Linked DNA regions of Caenorhabditis elegans. The protein of the gene in region 1 interacts with the protein of each later gene in a pairwise test. Each region holds a gene or a part of one and is shown in the gene's direction. Other genes may lie near its edges.

Region 1 (4,145 bases):
GTGAGAATGTTCCAGACACGCTTAGTCCAATTCTACAGAAATTCAAAGGTTTTTAGTCTCAAACTAGGCCTGTAAAGTTTTTCTGAGGGAGCAGAAAGCCCATGCGCCTTTAGGCGATTACTGTGTCTTTTGCAATCAATTTCACAATCAGATTTTCTAATTAAATTTCGATTCTCTTTCGAAAAATAACAGGAAACCCGGAAAAATTGCGAAATAATCTGAAAAAGACCGTACTTTCTTAAAGGCGCACTCCTCATTTCACTCAAAGGTCCTGGCACGATTGTTACTTTTTAAAGCGAGCCGTGCGCTTTTAAAGGGGTACGGTGGAAATTTTTGCCGATTTCGCAATTTTTCCTGATTTTTCTTCCGCGGAATTCCAATATTTTGAGAATATTCGTTGGAAAAACGGCGAAAATCAAGAAAAACTCGAATTTTTGACCTCCAGAAACTCACATCGGAATCAACTTTTCTGTAGACGGAGAGAGTGTTGGCGTTGACATGTCATAACAATAAGGAATGTAGTTTTATTCGATAAAAAAAAGGTCTCACGCTTTGGAAAATTCGAGAACAAAGAAAAGTTCATAAAAATATAAAATACACGTGAAATTAAAAAAAATTAATTGCTCTATCACCAATCGTTATTCATATCACCGAAATCTTCCATAAGAGCATCTTCGTCAGCAGCTTCCTTGGCTTCCTGTTCCTCTCGCAGCCGCTCTTCCTCCATCATTCGATACTCTTCCTCGACATTTTCATCAATTTCAGCGGTTTTTTGGTCGGATTTTTCAGAATTTTTAGCTTTTTCAGTCGTGACTTCTGAAATTGAAAGATTTTTTGATTTTCTAATAACAAGTTTGGATAAATTTTGCAACCTTTCTCTGGTAAATCCTTGAATAAATCATCGTCATTATCACTCGCTCCATCATCAATAATTCCATTCTTTTGATTCTCCTGCTCCTCGTGCTCAGAATCCTCGCCAGTCTCTCCAAGCCGGTGCTTGATCATGAAAACTTTAACCTGCCGCCGTGTTCCCAGTGTCTCGACTCGATTCAGAACATCTTCGGTTTTCATCTTCGGAAACATCAAATGTCCCCAGTATGCGTATTTTTTCATCAATTTCTCCAGATTTGCGTACTGAAAAGGGAAAATTATTGTATTTTTTAACTTTCAAATTTACCGGATCATCCTTGGGATTTGGCTTGAAATCTTTTAAAGTCTCCCGAAGAGCTGAAATTCCTTTCGGCCCGGTCAAAATTCGCTCATTCAGTGCTAGGCGTGGATTCTAAAGTTTGAAAAAATTTAAATAAATCATAGAAAATAAGCGTTTTACTGCTAGTCTTTTAGTCCTTAACAATTTCGGCTCCACGACTCGTCTAGTGCCTCCCTCGCCGCTGTTATCTGAACAAAACTTTAATTAAAACCCGATTTCTCACACGAAATTCTAGATACCTTCGATTGCTTCGTCTCCCATAGGGCTTGGCTCTCGATCCAATTCATCATTTTCGAAGAAATCTTCCATTTCGTCCATTTTTCTGGAAAAAAAGTTGATTTTCGATCGAAATTTCTAGGTTTTCGTGCAGAAAACGAAAAAAAATGCAAAAATCTTAGCGTTTAAAAAACTATTTTCAAACAACGCGCCGACAAAATCGGCTGAATCGCGTCGAGACCCGATCGATTAAATGCGTGCGCCTTTAAAGAAAGTCAGCATTCTCTTTGTGTTCTTGGCTAGAAAAAGTGTTCCAGTCCATTTATTATCTGAATTTTCTGATTTAAACGCATTTCTTAAGGTTTTTTATTAATTAAACCACTTTATTGTTAATATATCACTGTTTTGAACAGCTTATTTCGTAAAAAATCCCAAAATTCTTCTGGAAAATGAGAAAAAATCTAGTTTTTCGCCAAATTGTCGCATTTCTTTCCAGAATAACAATGTCGATCGCCCAACAACTCATGGATATGGGCTTCCCAGCCGACAAAGCCGAGGCCGCCGCCGGAAACAACAGAAATCTCGATCAGGCGTTGGATTGGATTGAGAAGGACGGAGCCGGTGTACCAATGGAGACAGATGCTCCAGCTCAAGCTGCTCCAGGAGCCGCTGACAGTGGTGCACCCCCGGTAGCCGCCAGTTTTAAGTGTGATGAGTGAGTTTTTCCCCCCTACGATTCTTATTAATTATTTCTCCAAATTTTTTTTTCCAGCTGCGGAAAGCTTCTCGCCAACGATGATGCTATCATGTTCCACGCTTCGAAGACAAAGCACGAGAATTTCAGCGAAAGCTCGGAAGCTATCAAGCCTCTCACTGCAGAGGAAAAGGCCGCAAAAGTCCTGGAAATCCGAGAAAAAATCAAAGTCCATCAGGCCAAAAAGGCAAAGCTCGAGGCCGAAGAGAATCGTGAGAAGGAGAAAAAGCGTCGTGAGGATGGAAAAGCCATGATCAGCCATAAAGAAGCCGCCAGAGATCGTGAAATTCGGTTAGAAAACTGTTTTCCATTGAATTTAAATAATAATATTCCCAATTTGCAGAGAAGCCGCTCAAGATCGTCGCCGCGAAAAGAACGAAGACGAAATCGCCAGAAAACGAGTTCTCGAGCAAATCCGGCTTGACAAGGAAGCCCGTAAGGCAAAAGCTTCAGGCCAACCGGTTCCAGAGGCAAAGCCTGCTCCGTCTGCAGCTCCAGTTGCTCCGCCAAAAGACTACTCAACTACAACTCTTCAATTCCGACTTCTCGATGGACAAACTGTTAGACAACAGTTTGAAGCTAATGAGCCGGTAATTTAAATATTCTCGACTCCCTTGAATTAATTTTTCAGCTCGCAATGGTCCGCGCCTGGGTCGAAACTAATCACGCAAACGGTGTTCCGTTCACCCTGATGACCCCATTCCCCCGCAAAGTGTTCACCGAGGATGATATGGGAACACCGCTCAAAGTTCTCAGTGAGTTTTGCTCAAAAAGGCCGGATTTCATGATGAAACTTGGAAATTTTCGAAAAAAAAAGTGGACGATTTTCAGCTATTTCGCCAACTTTTCCTGTTCACAGCTGCCGGAAATTTATTTTTATTCGATTTTTGTCCTTCTTCAGCAAAAAGACTCAATTTAACTGAAGAATCTGAAAAAGTGCTCAAAAATGGCCTAGAAGTCACGAATTGTCAATTGTAAGGCAATTTTTGAGCACTTTCGAATTTTTCAGTTAAATTAAGTATTATTTTCAGAAAAATCAACTGATTTTCTATATTTTGACACTAATTTTTAAATATTGGAGCAGTATGGTGCAATTTGACTTTAAATGTGCCTAAATCAACGAAAAAAACGCTAAAATATATAGATTTCTGCTGTAATTGGGCCATTTTTTCGAAAAAAATAAATAAAAATTTGAAAAGTTTCGTTATGAATTTTGGTTTTTTGAGACCAAAAAAATGTTCATTCTCTAATTTTTTTTTAAAATTTTCAGATTTGGTACCATCCGCCAACGTCATTCTCAACCGTGCCGCCTGAATCTTCAAAACTAAATTCCCACAATTTACTGCTAATTTTCTCTCCCCCCTCTCCCGAATGCTGGTATCACTTGTAAACTAAACATGTATATTGAGCATGTATAAAAATTTTCCGATAAACTTTTTTCCCCTCCATATATCTCGAGGCTCTTCATCTCCTCGTGATCTTCGAATTCCCGTCAGTTTTGCTCTCCGAGCTCTTGCCACAGATTTCTGACAAGCTGCAGGACAATCATATCTCCAGAGTGATTGGAAGCATTAGAACCTGGAAGATATTGGAATAAAAACCTGCGTACTGCACAACATATTTGACGCGCAAAATATCTCGCAGCGAAAACTGCAGTAATTCTTTAAATGATTACTGTAGGTCGATTTACGGGCTCAGATTTTCTTTTCGATTTAATTTAAGAGGCCCCACCAAAACGGAATGCAACTCAAAACAGGATACAGGGGCGGAGCCTATTTCGCAACCACCGCATGCTTTTTCCGCAAGCCTCGCACGTTTTTTCTCTTTAAAAAATGCAACAACATCAAGGAAAAAACGTGCGAGGCTTGCGGGAAAAGCATGCGCGGTTGTTGCGAAATAGGCTCCGCCCTTGCATCCTGTTTTGGTGAATCCTGTTTTGAGTTGCATTCTGTTTTGGTGGGGCCT
Region 2 (4,563 bases), about 12 Mb from region 1:
TTTTTTCACCCCCTTTTTTCCATTATTTGATATCAATTCGCGTCGCTTTGTGCAATAACGCAACGTATTGTTACTTTCTCCGTGGAGCATGTTTGCATTGCGACTACCTTGGCGACGGCTCTGTGTATGTTCTGTACTTTTTTTTTGATTTTTTGAACTGAATTTTAGGAGTTTGAAGTGTTTTGTAATCGAAAAAATTAAAAATAAAAAAAAGGTTTTAAAAAAATTTAATTTAATATATTCAGCGTTTCAGCGGTTGTTGTGATTGATTTTCTGATATAATCGAAAAAAAAAGAAAAAAACATTGAGGTTTGATTTATTTATTTCTGTTTTATTTTCGCCTTGCTCAATATTCCGGTTTCCGGCATTTTATGACGGAAAAGCTCCTCCCCCGCCGAGCGGCTTGTCGGAAATACCGGAGAAACGGCCTTGTTGTTTCGCACAGAAATGTCTCCGTCTCTCTCTCTCGGTCTTCCCGAATATATTCGGACTGTTTCTGTTCCCTATCCGATTCGAGAATCTCTCTCTCTCTCCCCCTGCCGGCGATGGATTTTTGTTCGATGTATTTATATATGATGTTTCTGCGCTTGTTTTTGGTTTTTTGTGACGTTTTATTAGATTTTAAAGCTTAAAAATCGAAATTTTCACTGATTTTTATGCTTTAAAGTTGAATTAGATCGAAATTTCGTCTAAAAATCATCTGAAATTCACTTTTGAAGCTCAAAAATTCAACTTTTCAAGAAATCAATTTGACGGTGCGGTTGAGGCTCACACTACAAACTACAAGATTTTTAGCCTCAATCACCGAAAACTTTGTAGTTTGTAGTTTTTTATGCTGAAATCCTCATTTTTTGCGGATTTTCACTAGATTTTTTGTCATTTTTCGTAATTTCCATAATCTTAAAAATATCAAAAAAGATACTATTTCTAAAAATTAATTTTTTTGCGTTTGTTTTTGGTTTTTAGCGACGTTTTATTGAAATTTTAAGCTTCAAAGTCGGAATTTTACTGATTTTTATGCGAAATTATTCCAAATTTTAGTTTAATTATCACAAAAATCACTTAAAATAGTATTAAAATTCAGAAGAAGATAAAATTTTGGTTGAGGCTCACACTACAAACTACAAGATTTTCAGCCTCAACCACCGAAAACCTTGTAGTTTGTAGTGTTTGGGCCTCAACCAACATTTTTAATTCATTTTTCATAATTTCTATTATCTTAAAAATATAAAAACTGAGGCGAATTTTTTTTCTTATTTTTCTTCAAATCAAATTTCTTCAATATTCGATTTTTTCTGAAAATTAATTTTTGGCGCGTGTTTTTGTTCCTTTTCTGCAGGCTTCAAGTACTTTTAAGCTGCAAATTCGGAAAATTTATTGTTTATGCACTTTTTGGTCAAAATAATTTCTTAAGCAACGTGTATTTGTCCTCGATAATTTTTTTAAAAGTTTTCCAACTCGAATTCCGTCTCAAAAAATTCAAAATAAATTAACAAAAGGCAATTTATTTCGGAATTTCTTACAGTGATGAGAGAACCATTACTCCAATTAATAGTTCTATCACTAATAATCATCGTCGTCAATACACAATTCGAATCGGGTCGTCTATGTTTCTGTAAAGGGTTCGAAGCGGTTGAGCCATGTGATTGCTCGAAACCTCAGACTATTGATAAATTGAATAATCATCGAATTTATGAGAAAGTACAGAAGTTGCTCAAAAAGGATTTCTTCCGGTTTTATAAGGTGAGGATTTTTTGGGAAATTCGGGAGAGAAATCGTTAAAAATTGAGAAAATCGCTTGAGTGAGGCTACAAGAATTGTAGTTTGTAGCCTGGGCCTCAACCAAATTGAGTTTTGCAAAAAATCGATTTTGTAAAATCATTTTGCACACAATTTTCGATGTAAAAGCTTATTTTCAACTAAATTCGCAAATTTTCACAAAACAATATTTTGTTCGCATTAAAATCGTCGAATTTTCATAAAAAATCGCTTGAGTGAGGCTACCAGAATTGTAGTTTGTAGCCTGAGCCTCAACCAATTTAAATTTCGTCGAAAATCGTTTTTTTTTTCAATGAAAATTAGTAATTTGTAACGTATATATTGAATAAAAACGGCGGTTTTTTCATAGGATTTAAACTTTTTCAGCAAAAAATTGGTTGAGGCTTAAATATATTGTAGTTTGTAGTGTAAGCCTCAACCACAAATAGCAATAAACCACCAATTCCCCCTTAAAAACTCGAATTTTTCAGGTAAATATGGATAAAACATGCCCATTCTGGGCAGACGATCGACAATGTGGCACAAATCAATGCGGAATCGCATTCTGTGATGATGAGGTTCCCGCGGGACTTCGACGACGAAATGCAGTGAATATGGTACGCAGAAGCTCTCATGAGAGTAGTCATGAAATATCAGAAAATCATAACAACAACCGCCAACAACGCTGGAATGAGACAACGAAAATTGGGGTAATTGTTCAGGAGGCTGCTGCTGTGAAAGAGGAAGAAGATGATGATGCTGAAAAGTGTGCAGATGCTGGAAATAATATTGATCCAATGGATAGAACACTTCATGATGATGAGAAACGACAATTGGATGCGATGGATCATCATGATGATGGACTGGAGGACAAATTCTGTGAAATTGAAGGTACATCTTTTGAAATTTGGAATATTTGCCATGAAAAATTTTATATTGCTGCGTTAAAACGTTAGTGTAGCTAGCTTGTAATATGAGCGTTGTTTTAATTATTGGATTAGATATGTGTTAAAACGTTCATTATCAAATCGTTTAAATTTACTCAATATTGCCACGTTGCATTAAATTTCAAATTTCCCAATTCCTTGAGGATTTCGTAAGAATTCCATTTGCTATGCTGACGTGTATTTATAGGAAATCGGGATAATGAATGAAAAAGGGAAGCATGGTTAATTTTAATTATGAGCGTGTTACCAAAATATACACAATTTGCCAAAAATCATGGGGAATTGCTTGGAACAATATACTACCGTATATCCTCTATTAGTTTTGCACCCCTTTGCTCAACTTTGACAGCTCATTACTCATTTTTTGTTTTGAACATATGAATAATAATTAACAAACTAAATACTATAGAAAAATATCTAACAAATATTTTATCAGTTGACAACATTTCCATAGAACAAACGACTACTGAGATATGAGCTGCCAAAGTTGACAAAAGGGGTGCAAAACTAATAGAGGATATACGGTAACTAATACAATTGTTAGTATTGCTAAATGTTGTTTCAAGTTTTTGAAATTTTTAATCTAGACTAGTGTGCATTGTTTTTTTTTCAAAATGTCTCACATGCATGTTATAATTTAACGAACTTTTTCGATATCACAATTTAGGATCAAATTTATTAACGAATATTCTTTTCTGGTAAGTCGTAGCCTCACAATGTATTGAACAAGTATATAAGATGTAGACAATATTCTTTTATACCTGACTTTATGAGATAAATAGCTTTAATGATATTCGGCTCTTGTTTCAGAAATTTAACGTATAATAATTATAACAATAATAGTTTACGACATAATTTTATGAATTAGCATCTACGGTAAATTTATTAGTGACGATTCTTTTTTTTAGCACATTTTTTTATGTATATAATACGAGAGCTTATATGTCAAGTATTGAACAATTGAGATGCATACGATATTCTTTTATGCTTGACTTGTGTTAAATTAACGTATATTTTCAAAATCTCTACTATCGTCCTATATAGTATGTATTAGTAATATTGCACCACTATACTTCACTGTGACAATACATGATTCACTATAGATTTTTTAAAAAATTATTAACTATTTACAAAACTATATAAGAAGAAATTGAGATATTTTTTTGGATATAACAAAAGGCAACGATAAATTGGGTGCGATGCTAATATGGGAAGCACGGTAAATCTATTAGTGACAATGTAATAATATATTCATTATACAACAAGTGTTGTATTTCCTTTTATATAATACGAGAGTCATATGTACTGTTTCAGATAATTACCATGTAGGTGATTTTTTAATGACATAGTTTGAATGATATTCGGCTATTGTTTCATAAATTGAACGTATGATAATTATAACTATGATAGTTCATTCGATTTATGTATTGGCATCTAGTGTTTTCATCCGACATTTAATAGCTTATTTCCTTTTTACTCCTCTATACGTGCAATACTAATAGGGGAAGTACGTTAAAGTACGTTATATCTATTAGTGACGATGCATTAATGTATCACATGAATTTTCATTCGCAAATGCATGTATCGTGATTCATTATACCACAAGGGAAAATACTGTTTTACTACTTGATCTTTTACTACAGTTAGCTCTTTTACTACTTGATATCTTTTACTACGATTTGACCACATAGATCTTTTACTACGGAAAGTACTTTTTTACTACCTCATCTTTTACTACGTGGATGTTTTACTACGTTTTACTCTTTTGTTACGGACGTATTTTTACTACGTGGAGGGACACTGTTGGGTTACTGTAGTTGTATTGTGTAAGTAACAATTTTCAGATTATATAGTATAG
Region 3 (4,204 bases), on another chromosome or scaffold:
CGAGGCAGTGAATGAGAAAAAGAAAAATGGTAAAAAAGAAAAAGGAGAGAAAGTTGAAGATTCAAAAGTGTGCATCATAATGTAATGTGAGGAAATATGGAATGTCGTTTGATCTCAAATGGGAATAGATAATGCATTGTTTCGTATTATGGAAAAATTACTGAAACACAACTGTACTTAAATTTTAATGTTTCTTTTCTTGGTGAACTTTTCAGTTCTAGTCAGCTCCCCGAACCTCCCGGTAATTTTGAAATGTATGTTTCCAGTGAACTTGTGATATTGATGATAATTGGATTTTATAACAGTAGTTTGTGTATTTGTGTTTTATTAATTTTTGAGATTGGAATAAATAATTTGTAAATAAACATTTTCTCCACTATTACATTTTTGGATGAAATCTTAACTAAAAGAGGGATTCAAAAACAATTTGAAAATAGCATTTCGATGCTTGAAATGTGTAAAATTTTGCGCGGTAGTTCACTGTATTAATATTTTACAAGACTAAAAAAATCCATTAATCACTTTTTGCATATTACTTTACAGTCCAATTAGAAGAAAAGCTCAATACCAACTAATGAATAACCTAATGGAACATACTTTTTTCAAGAGTTTGTTGTATACTGTGAAGTTACAGCGTAGACATTGTTGAAGCAGCCAGACGGATGACATAGGATTGATCACTGAAAAATGACAGATTATCAAAAGACCAGTTTTTAGAACCAGCTTCATCCCAATCCCTAGTCGACTGATCTTTACCTCTCTTGCGTTTCGACTGATTCAGGTCAGAAATAGAAATGTCGTTGATGGGAACTTTTTTGAGAATACTCAATGGACAAATCGATGACGGATTTTAGGATCACAACGACGAGGGATTCAGAGACTTGCGAGGACAGCAGAGAACGGACAGACTAACATGGAAGGACATTTTGAAACGTTTTATAAATAGGACGGTTGATTTAAAAACAACAATTTATTGGACCAACTTGAGTGATAGTACAGATTGCAAGAAGTTGGTTTTTTAAATCATAAACGTGCTACATTGACGCACTGAGAAGAGACTGAGGGGAAAACAAAGGAGATGAAAGATCTATAGGGAGTGAAGGGGAGATCTTAAATAGAAAATACACCGGAAAATCAGAAGTTGACCCGAGCACGAAGACACGTTGATGAGAGAGGAGTTGGGAAGAAGAAAGGGCGTCGACGATCACTGTAAAAAGTTAATTAATATTAGTTCTGATTTTAACCCATAACCGCAAATATTTCTCATATTCACGAACTTACCTTATTGCGGTTGATCTCAGTGAGATAAAACGGAACTTTGTCACCAGTCCAAGACGTATTGTTTTCCACAAGATGAAGAAGACGCTCGTCCGTGATTTTCACAAAATCTGAAAAAGATATAATTAGTATTTTGATGTACCTAACACCTAGTTTCAACTTACCATCGATACGACGAGAAGTCGAGCTTTGAGAACGGGGACGTGGAACAATCGACTCTGATGAAATGATCCGCGTTCCGTCAATGCATTTCGACAAGATCTCTTTCAGCTCCAACTTGAGCTCCGGCGAAAAACGAACGTTGTTCACCACAATCACCGTGGCTTGGGTCTGGATCTCATTAATACGATCCACCAGATATGCTTTTAATGAACGTGTCTCAACGTCGTTTAAATTGAAAAATAGTTCCTGGATGCTCTCAATTTCATTTAAGCACATCAAAGTGCACTGTGTATTTTTATATTGTCTTTGAAAAAATGACTTGGGTACAGCTTGGGCAAGAGTTGGGAGCAGCCTCATAAAAAAAGTCGTGGGCTGCTTGTTCTCTCAAGGCATCGCCCAAGGCTTACCATAGTTTTGTCTACTTCTTCTTATTCCTTCTAATGTTTTTTGAATCTGCATTTCTCTCTTGGTCTACATATGATGTTGGTAATGTATAGTAGAAGACCACGTGTGTCTGCACAATTACACTATCTCTAGTGTTCTGCGTCTGCAATATACAACAACAAAACCATTTCGTCGACATACACCGTCCAATCTTATCAGTTAGTTCGACATCATTCCGTCTTTGACCCTTTTTGTTTATTTTTCAACTAGTCATTATCATCAGTTATTCTTTCTGAGAATTTACAAAATTATTTTCTGCTTGTAGACATGTCCAACCAAAAGCCAGTTCTGTATTCTTATTGGAGATCATCGTGCTCATGGAGAGTTCGCATCGGTTGGTATTTTAATTATATCAATTTTAACTAGCAAAAATGTTATTTTCAGCGCTTGCTTTGAAAAACGTGGACTACGAATACAAAACTGTCGACTTGCTGTCCGAAGAGGCTAAGGTAAGAGAAAATCAAGCGGTTCTTTAAATTATTTTAAAATTTAGAGCAAACTGAAAGAAATCAACCCAGCTGCAAAAGTACCAACATTTGTTGTGGATGGTCAAGTAATTACTGAAAGTCTTGCGATTATTGAGTATTTGGAAGAAACGCATCCAGACGTTCCACTTTTGCCAAAAGATCCAATCAAGAGAGCTCACGCTAGAGCTATTTCTCTTTTGGTAAGTTTTACGTATTTAGTTGGTTTTTTTCTTAACTTTATACTGCTATTGTTTTACAAAAACTGTAACAATTATGTTTTGAGGTTTACAGGTTGCTTCTGGAATTCAACCTCTTCACAATTTGAAGGTTCTTCAACTTTTGAATAAAAAAGAAGCAGGATTCGGAGGACAGGTTTAATTTCAGAATCTTCAATGTATGTTTTCAATTTTTAAAATTTCAGTTTGCCAAACAGTTTGTTGTCGAAGGTCTCACTGCTCTTGAAATTCTTCTAAAGCAACATTCTGGGAAGTATGCTGTCGGAGATGACGTCACGATTGCGGATCTCTCCATCCCGCCACTTATCTACTCAGCTAACCGGTATGATTATAGGGAGGGTCAGGGAATTTTGGACATAGATAACTTTTTGAGAAAATTTATTATGTTTTAGTAATCTATCCAGAATTTCAATGTATTAGTTTGACATTTTGCGTATTCAAAACCTCGAAAATTTGAACACCTTTTGGGTTACCCTCAAACAACACTGACCAATTTTTCATAGACAGTTACTGAATCATCTTAGCAAGTGATTTAAACGAAAACACATTCCTATTGAAAACAACATCCACTTGTGTGGCAACAACCTTTTTATCGGATTCCTGATTCAAACAAAATGTATTAGTCATTCAACAAACATGAATTGGAAGCGATGAGCGTTTAGGATGAGACATGAGAGATTCACAGATAACCATCAGAATAACCTCCCTTCCAAATCGTTCCGATCGCAATCAAACCGTCATTTCAGATTCAACCTCGATTTGTCGCCATACCCAACAGTGAATCGTATCAATGAGACTCTTGCTGATATCCCCGCCTTTATTGCCGCTCATCCTGATAATCAACCAGATACCGGACTCAATGCTTAGATTCTTATGAATGATTGCGTTATTGGATTGGACATACAAGAGTTAACTATTTGAGAATTAAAAAAAAATGTTTCTTTGTCTCTTAAATTAGCACAAAAGTAATAATAAATTTACAACAGAAAATGTCCGCGATATCCTAAAGCAAGTTGCTTTTTTTAACTTTGTAAACTAACTTTTCTCGTTTTCATACTGAGTGTTTTTTTTTCAAATAAATTAATTTCTTAAAAATATTTTGAACTTTATTCAAACGAAATATCCAATGGAAAATTTTTTAGTATGCGAGTTCCACTGATAACTTTTTTGCGTTCAAAAAAAATGTCCTGCTTTGAAGACAGAATTTTTGATGTTTACCTATTTAGAAGTATGTTTCGAAATTCAAGTTAAACAGTTGCAGACCGGAAGCCTCCAAAAGTCATTTTTTTGTCCTCCTCTTCATGACCAAACTCAATCCCTGGGGATTAGCATCTGAAAACCCAATCGGCAATGTTGTGTCATGGAAACTTTTAGAGAACTTTCGGAAGACTTCCGTGCAAAGAGAACGTGTTTTTACGGGCGAGGTTGGCATAGTCATAGTACTAGTTGGTTGCCACCCACAACACAAGCCGGCCTTTCGATTCATCAAAGTATCCGTTTTTTTCACTCTTCTCCTCCCGCATTCTCCCCCTCTTTTCTTTGTCAGTGTGGTCTGCAAAGTTCAATTTCCAACTTTTCTCATTTTCTCTATCTCTGGCTCGCTCTTCGCAGCTCCTT
Region 4 (5,160 bases), on another chromosome or scaffold:
AATATTTTCTACTTTTTGTTGTTCTTCCAAGGTTTCCGGATGTATTGAGAAGATTTTCTCTCTCGGAAAGAGCAAATGCACGCTGTGAGCACTGGTGACTGAGTCAGGAGGAAGAGAGAGAAGTGTGTCGAATGGCTTTTTCTCTGTATTTTTGCCCTAACACACGGTTTCTGTTTGCTTTTCGGACAGCCAAGAGGAAGAGATTCTATGTTTTCACTTTGTTCATTTTATGTAAATATCGTTTTTCTCTACCCAGCGCGCGAAACATCCTGCCTCAATTTTTTTTTGAAATTTCGATTCACCAACTATTTTTTAATCAACCTGATGGAACAATTCATTCCCCCAAAAATGATCAGAATGACTCAGTTCACAAATGCGCAAACAAACAGTCGCAAGTAGAGAAGTCATCAAGAGATTAGTCATTCTGCAGAAAATCCCAAAATTTACTGCTTTAACCCTTTGACTGTGAGACAGTATGAAAAGCGAAGAGATTTAGGGTCACCTAGAAGGAAAAGTTTTTAGTAAAGACCTACACACACGAACAATTAAATATACCACTACTACTACATACTTCTTGTGTCCGACTTCATACGAGTGAGAGACGACAGCCATTAAGGGCGGTCGTATGTTCCACTGAGCGCTCTGAACTGCTGCGTCTTAACGGACAGCCTCACTATTTCCCTTACTATCTTACTGCCGCCCTGAACTGGCCCAACACACACAAACACAATCAAAAGTGACTCACACACATCTTGGGGCCAATGTTTCTTTTTGATTAGTGTTATTAATATGTTTTCTATCCCTTTCAATTTCGTTTTCAAATAGATGAGTACATATGTAGAAAATCTAAAAAATGTGTTGAAATTAATCATCTATGCCGTTTTTCAATGTGAAAACCTATTTTTATTTAGATTTTAACCTGCAGATCGTTTAAAATGTTTTCATGAAAGCTTAAACCACCTTCAAACGCTCCAAATTTTAGATTTATTTTTTGAATTTCTAGCAGTACTGTTGACATTCTTTCTTGAACATTTGAATATTCTTTCTTCTGTTTTTTTTAGATCAGAAATATCTGTAAATATAAAATTTTAAGCGATGAATTACAGCTTTAGTTTTTTCTGTTTCAAAACAATTTAAATAATTTGAAACGAAACAAATTTCCTCCAAACTCAATTTTTCGCTTAAAATTAACCAGAAAGTGAAAATATTGCCATAATTAAAAATAATAAATTTGAAGCCGCTCAACTACCGTAACTTCAAAGGCACATGACTTTAAAAATCTATTCGTGGCGAGACCCATCCTCTTTTAACCTGATTTCTGAAAGTTTATTTGTTTCTCTTTTCCATCAAATTTTGTATCTTTGCATTGAAAATAATTGGGTATTTTCGCAAATTTTTGTCGGTCAGCCTATTAGTTTTCCATTTTTAATCGCAACGATCAGACCATAGAATCCGGAGTTTTTCATGCAAAAATGTGTGAGACACGCACGCGGAGACTCGACCGCGAGAAGATTAAGCTTTGATTCCAATTCAATCTCGCCTACCGGAAAAAAAAAACATCTCTCGAGACATTTCTTTAGTTTTCTGGAGGGTCTCTGCCTACCGCTGGCGCGGGAACGAGAGATGTTTGCTGGCGGCTACGCCCGTTCCGTTCTCTCATTTCCTGGTCAACTACCGAAAATGGTCTTTTAAACGATTTTTTACTTGAGATTCTTTATATTAACCCATAAATTTCTCGGCCTTAATTGAAAATTACCTCGTGACTCGATCAAATCGAGAAAAATGCACACCTTTGTGGCAAATTTGCCATATGTTGCGAAACATAGTGTGATTAATGGAGTACCATAGAGAAATAAGTTCTGCGTAGAAAGAAAATAAAAAAATGATAAGGAGACCATTCGGAGGCTTTTTATCGCGTCACTATTACAATTTTCCCTCGATTTTAGCTTAATAATTACAATATAGGTCGTCGAACCCTATATTGTATGTGTTCCAGATGACTCTCAACTATCATGCACACGGCAAGGAGATTGAAGCGTCGTATCGGCGTGCCAGTGATGACTCAGATGGCGATAAATGGGTGATTTTCGATTATGAAGGAAATTCGAACACATTACGAGTCAAAGAAGAAGGAAGTAAGTTCAGATTTCGTTGCTTTCCCTCCTAAAAATCTATTTATTTCAGCTGGTGGTCTTGAGGAGTTCGCCGACAGTTTCAGCTCGGGAAAGCTCCAGTTTGGTGTGATTTCGGTGCGACTGAGCAGTGATGTCTTCCCGAAAATCGTTTTGGTGCATTGGGTATGGAGTTTACGGCTAAATTGAAAGGAAAACGAAAATCGAAAAAATTCGTGATTACTAGGTCTTAAAAGTTGAATATTAACAAAAATCATGTCAATTTGCTTGCATTCCATGTTCCTCTCAAAAGATAACGCTATTGTGAGATTTTTTGCTGAAAATTTTTTTTAAAAATCCATTTGTAAAACAAAAACTGTAGTTTTTTCCAAAAATTCTTTGTCAGTTATGGTTTCAAATATTTTTAGAGATGTATCGAGATTTGTATACTTTTAAACACGAAGTTCCAGGAAAAAAACCATTTTAATGTTTGAATATTGCAGCAAGGCGAAGGAGTCCCCACACTGCGTTTGGCCTCAACGACACCGCACGCTGAAGAGTTCCGTAGATTCTTGAAAACAGTTCACATTGTGCTCCATGCCAGATCGGAAATCGACATCGAGCCGGACGCGATTCGAAAAGAGGTGCGAAAGCTCCCGGCGGCGAACGCCAACGCCATCGTCGAATCCACGTACAGCATGCCGGAGAAGGTGAATTCGGTGTACCAGCCGACGAATGCACACTCGGAGCTCAGCTCGGAGGCTCGCGAGAACTTCTGGAGCACAACAAATCAAGAGGAGAAGAGGTACTGTCTACATGAAATCGTGTCCTGAAAATCAAGTAATCACCTCTAAGAAGTTTCAGACGACAAGCCGACGAGAAAGTGGCTCATGCGAAACAGCAAAAGCAGTATGAAGCTGACCGTGATCGCACGGCCGCGGCAATTCACACAAAAGCCGAAGATTTCCAGCCGGAGAAGGTTAACTCGGTGTACAAGCCGACGAAGCCCCACGTTGAGCTGAAGACGGTCAAACGGGAGGAGTTTTGGAGCAAGATGAACGAGGAGGAGAAGCTGTGGGTGTTTTGAGTAATTTATTGAAATAGAATTCGCAATTTTAGGCGTCAAGAAGAAGAAAAAACCGCTCGTGAACAAGCACACAAGCAGTTCGAAGCGGATCGACAGCGAATGGCCTCGGAAATTCACTCCAAAACAGAAAACTATCAACCGGATAAGGTCACATCGGTGTACAAGCCAACAAAACCGCACGTGGAGATCAGTTCATCAGCTCGCGAAGAGTTCTGGAGCAAGATGAACGAGGAGGAGCAGCGGCGGCAAGCGGAGGAAAAAGAGGCACAGGCCCAGAAGCAGAAGGAATTCGAGACGGATCGAAAACGGATTGCGGATGATCTTCACGGGAAGGCTCAAATTAGTGATAAGCCCGTGCCATCTTCGGTGAATCCAGCTCCAGCTCCCGCCCCCACTCCGAGCGCAGGTCTCGTTGGAAGCAGAAAAGAATTATTCAGCTCAAAACCTTCCGGTCCAGTGCTTCCGAAGCCTCAAGTGAATGGATCGCCTAAGAAGTGGCCGCCAGTTGGCACGACCTCTCCGCCCCGTGAACCCGTTAACCGACTCACTGAGCCAGATGAGCCTTCGACGTATACGCCAAAGCCAATAGCTTATGAGCCAGAGCCAATGGTTTACAAGCCCGAGGCTATGAGTCAGTTTTCGTATAAAGTTTATTAGTCCTAATTTGAATATTTTCAGAACCTGCCGTCTCTTACGATGCATACGAAGAGCCACCAGCAGAGCCAGCTCCACCTACATTCCTTGCTCCAACCCCGGTCATTGCTCCACCTCCACCTGAGCCAACTCCAGCTCCATCGCATTACGCCTCCCAGTACGATGCTCCACCGGTTCACGAGTCTTTCGAACCAGCTGTACCTCCAGTTTCAGCTCCTTCCCACTATGCGTCTCAGTATGATGCTCCGCCGGAGCCGATCGACTCTCACTCATCGAGCTCTCAACTGCCAGCTCACATCGCCTCACAGTATGACATGCCTCCAGTGATGCCAGAGGAGCCCGTGTTTGCACCGAAATCCTCGCCAATAAAAGTCGCTGCTCCACCAATTGATCAGTACGATTTCCCGCCGGCGGTCGCCGAGCAGAACGCGATGGCTCTCTGGGACTACCAGGCTGCAGATGACACGGAGATCTCATTTGATCCTGATGACATTATCACAGATATCGATCAAGTCGATAGCGGATGGTGGAAAGGACGTGCGCCCAGCGGCCGCGTAGGCCTTTTTCCCGCTAATTATGTGAAGCTGATTTAATTTGTCTAGATAGCCTAACCGTTCTTTTTTACTAATTTATTGTGCAATGTTTTTTTCCCATTTTAAACTCAACAATCCGCGGTGCCTCCCATTCTCCCACTTCCTGTAATTTATTATACCATTACTTTTTATGTGCATTTTCTCCGTAAATGGCAATATGAATCGAAAATCGAAGAATCTGTTTTTATAATCAATTATTTCATTCACAGGACGATAATAAGCGCAGTCTCGAGTACAATATTGATGATGATAATGCTATTTAATTTATGAAATCACTGGGGGAATTGCAAATACGAAGTTGGCACGAATCCTGACTCTTCGTTGTGTTTCCTGCAACTTTCATTTTATTTACTTGGTAATTCTTTGTTACTTGTATTACTTTTTGGTTCGAGTCCATCCATCTCCGTGATCGTGTTCGAGTACGAGAAGAATTTCGCCCTGCTCGATGGACATGGTCTCCGCGGAGGATTTGGCAAATTCGAACAGTGCGGTTACCGTAACCGCTGTCTCGACTTTAACTGAATCGGGAGTCGATAAAGATTTGCGAATGGCACCTGCAAAAAATTTATACTTATATTTAACTATTTTTTCTTTTATAAAAGCTTTTAAAAGGAAAAAAATGGATTTTTAATTTAACCTGAAAATGAGGATCTGAGAATCTTTGGTGATGAGATTTCGGCTCTTCGTCGTAGTGGCGTCGGAGTTGAAGACTTCG

What was found.
Region 2: the proteins of ubxn-1 (region 1) and ero-1 interact in a two-hybrid assay, tested with the Caenorhabditis elegans proteins (one large-scale study listed by BioGRID).
Region 3: the proteins of ubxn-1 (region 1) and gst-42 interact in a two-hybrid assay, tested with the Caenorhabditis elegans proteins (one large-scale study listed by BioGRID).
Region 4: the proteins of ubxn-1 (region 1) and dbn-1 interact in a two-hybrid assay, tested with the Caenorhabditis elegans proteins (one large-scale study listed by BioGRID).

Annotation. Positions count from the first base shown.
Region 1 is NC_003279.8:2,432,082-2,436,226, forward strand, and holds ubxn-1 (UBX domain-containing protein 1), read left to right. Parts: upstream 1-1,920; 5' UTR 1,921-1,929; coding exon 1,930-2,141; intron 2,142-2,198; coding exon 2,199-2,471; intron 2,472-2,523; coding exon 2,524-2,770; intron 2,771-2,811; coding exon 2,812-2,935; intron 2,936-3,450; coding exon 3,451-3,494; 3' UTR 3,495-3,610; downstream 3,611-4,145. Other genes in the region: F23C8.8 (Protein kinase domain-containing protein), read right to left, coding at 1-32, 454-500; tipn-1 (Protein TIPIN homolog), read right to left, coding at 629-816, 873-1,134, 1,178-1,282, 1,331-1,398, 1,450-1,528. UniProt on the Caenorhabditis elegans protein: Ubiquitin-binding protein which acts as an adapter for ATPase cdc-48.1 and/or cdc-48.2, conferring substrate specificity.
Region 2 is NC_003279.8:14,662,924-14,667,486, forward strand, and holds the start of ero-1 (Endoplasmic oxidoreductin), read left to right. Parts: upstream 1-1,525; 5' UTR 1,526-1,527; coding exon 1,528-1,743; intron 1,744-2,249; coding exon 2,250-2,649; intron 2,650-4,563. UniProt on the Caenorhabditis elegans protein: Oxidoreductase involved in disulfide bond formation in the endoplasmic reticulum. Efficiently reoxidizes pdi-1, the enzyme catalyzing protein disulfide formation, in order to allow pdi-1 to sustain additional rounds of disulfide formation.
Region 3 is NC_003284.9:11,725,744-11,729,947, reverse strand, and holds gst-42 (putative maleylacetoacetate isomerase), read left to right. Parts: upstream 1-2,011; 5' UTR 2,012-2,151; coding exon 2,152-2,218; intron 2,219-2,268; coding exon 2,269-2,333; intron 2,334-2,377; coding exon 2,378-2,551; intron 2,552-2,642; coding exon 2,643-2,723; intron 2,724-2,772; coding exon 2,773-2,909; intron 2,910-3,333; coding exon 3,334-3,454; 3' UTR 3,455-3,684; downstream 3,685-4,204. Other genes in the region: D1053.3 (Ras family protein), read left to right, coding at 1-85; D1053.2 (Histone-lysine N-methyltransferase, H3 lysine-79 specific), read right to left, coding at 1,205-1,207, 1,282-1,388, 1,443-1,797.
Region 4 is NC_003281.10:13,758,906-13,764,065, reverse strand, and holds dbn-1 (DreBriN 1/DreBriN-like (where Drebrin is from Developmentally REgulated BRaIN protein) family homolog), read left to right. Parts: upstream 1-1,996; coding exon 1,997-2,135; intron 2,136-2,184; coding exon 2,185-2,297; intron 2,298-2,614; coding exon 2,615-2,916; intron 2,917-2,975; coding exon 2,976-3,185; intron 3,186-3,230; coding exon 3,231-3,829; intron 3,830-3,876; coding exon 3,877-4,445; 3' UTR 4,446-4,622; downstream 4,623-5,160. Other genes in the region: toca-2 (Transducer of Cdc42-dependent actin assembly protein 2 homolog), read right to left, coding at 4,718-4,781, 4,825-4,999, 5,083-5,160.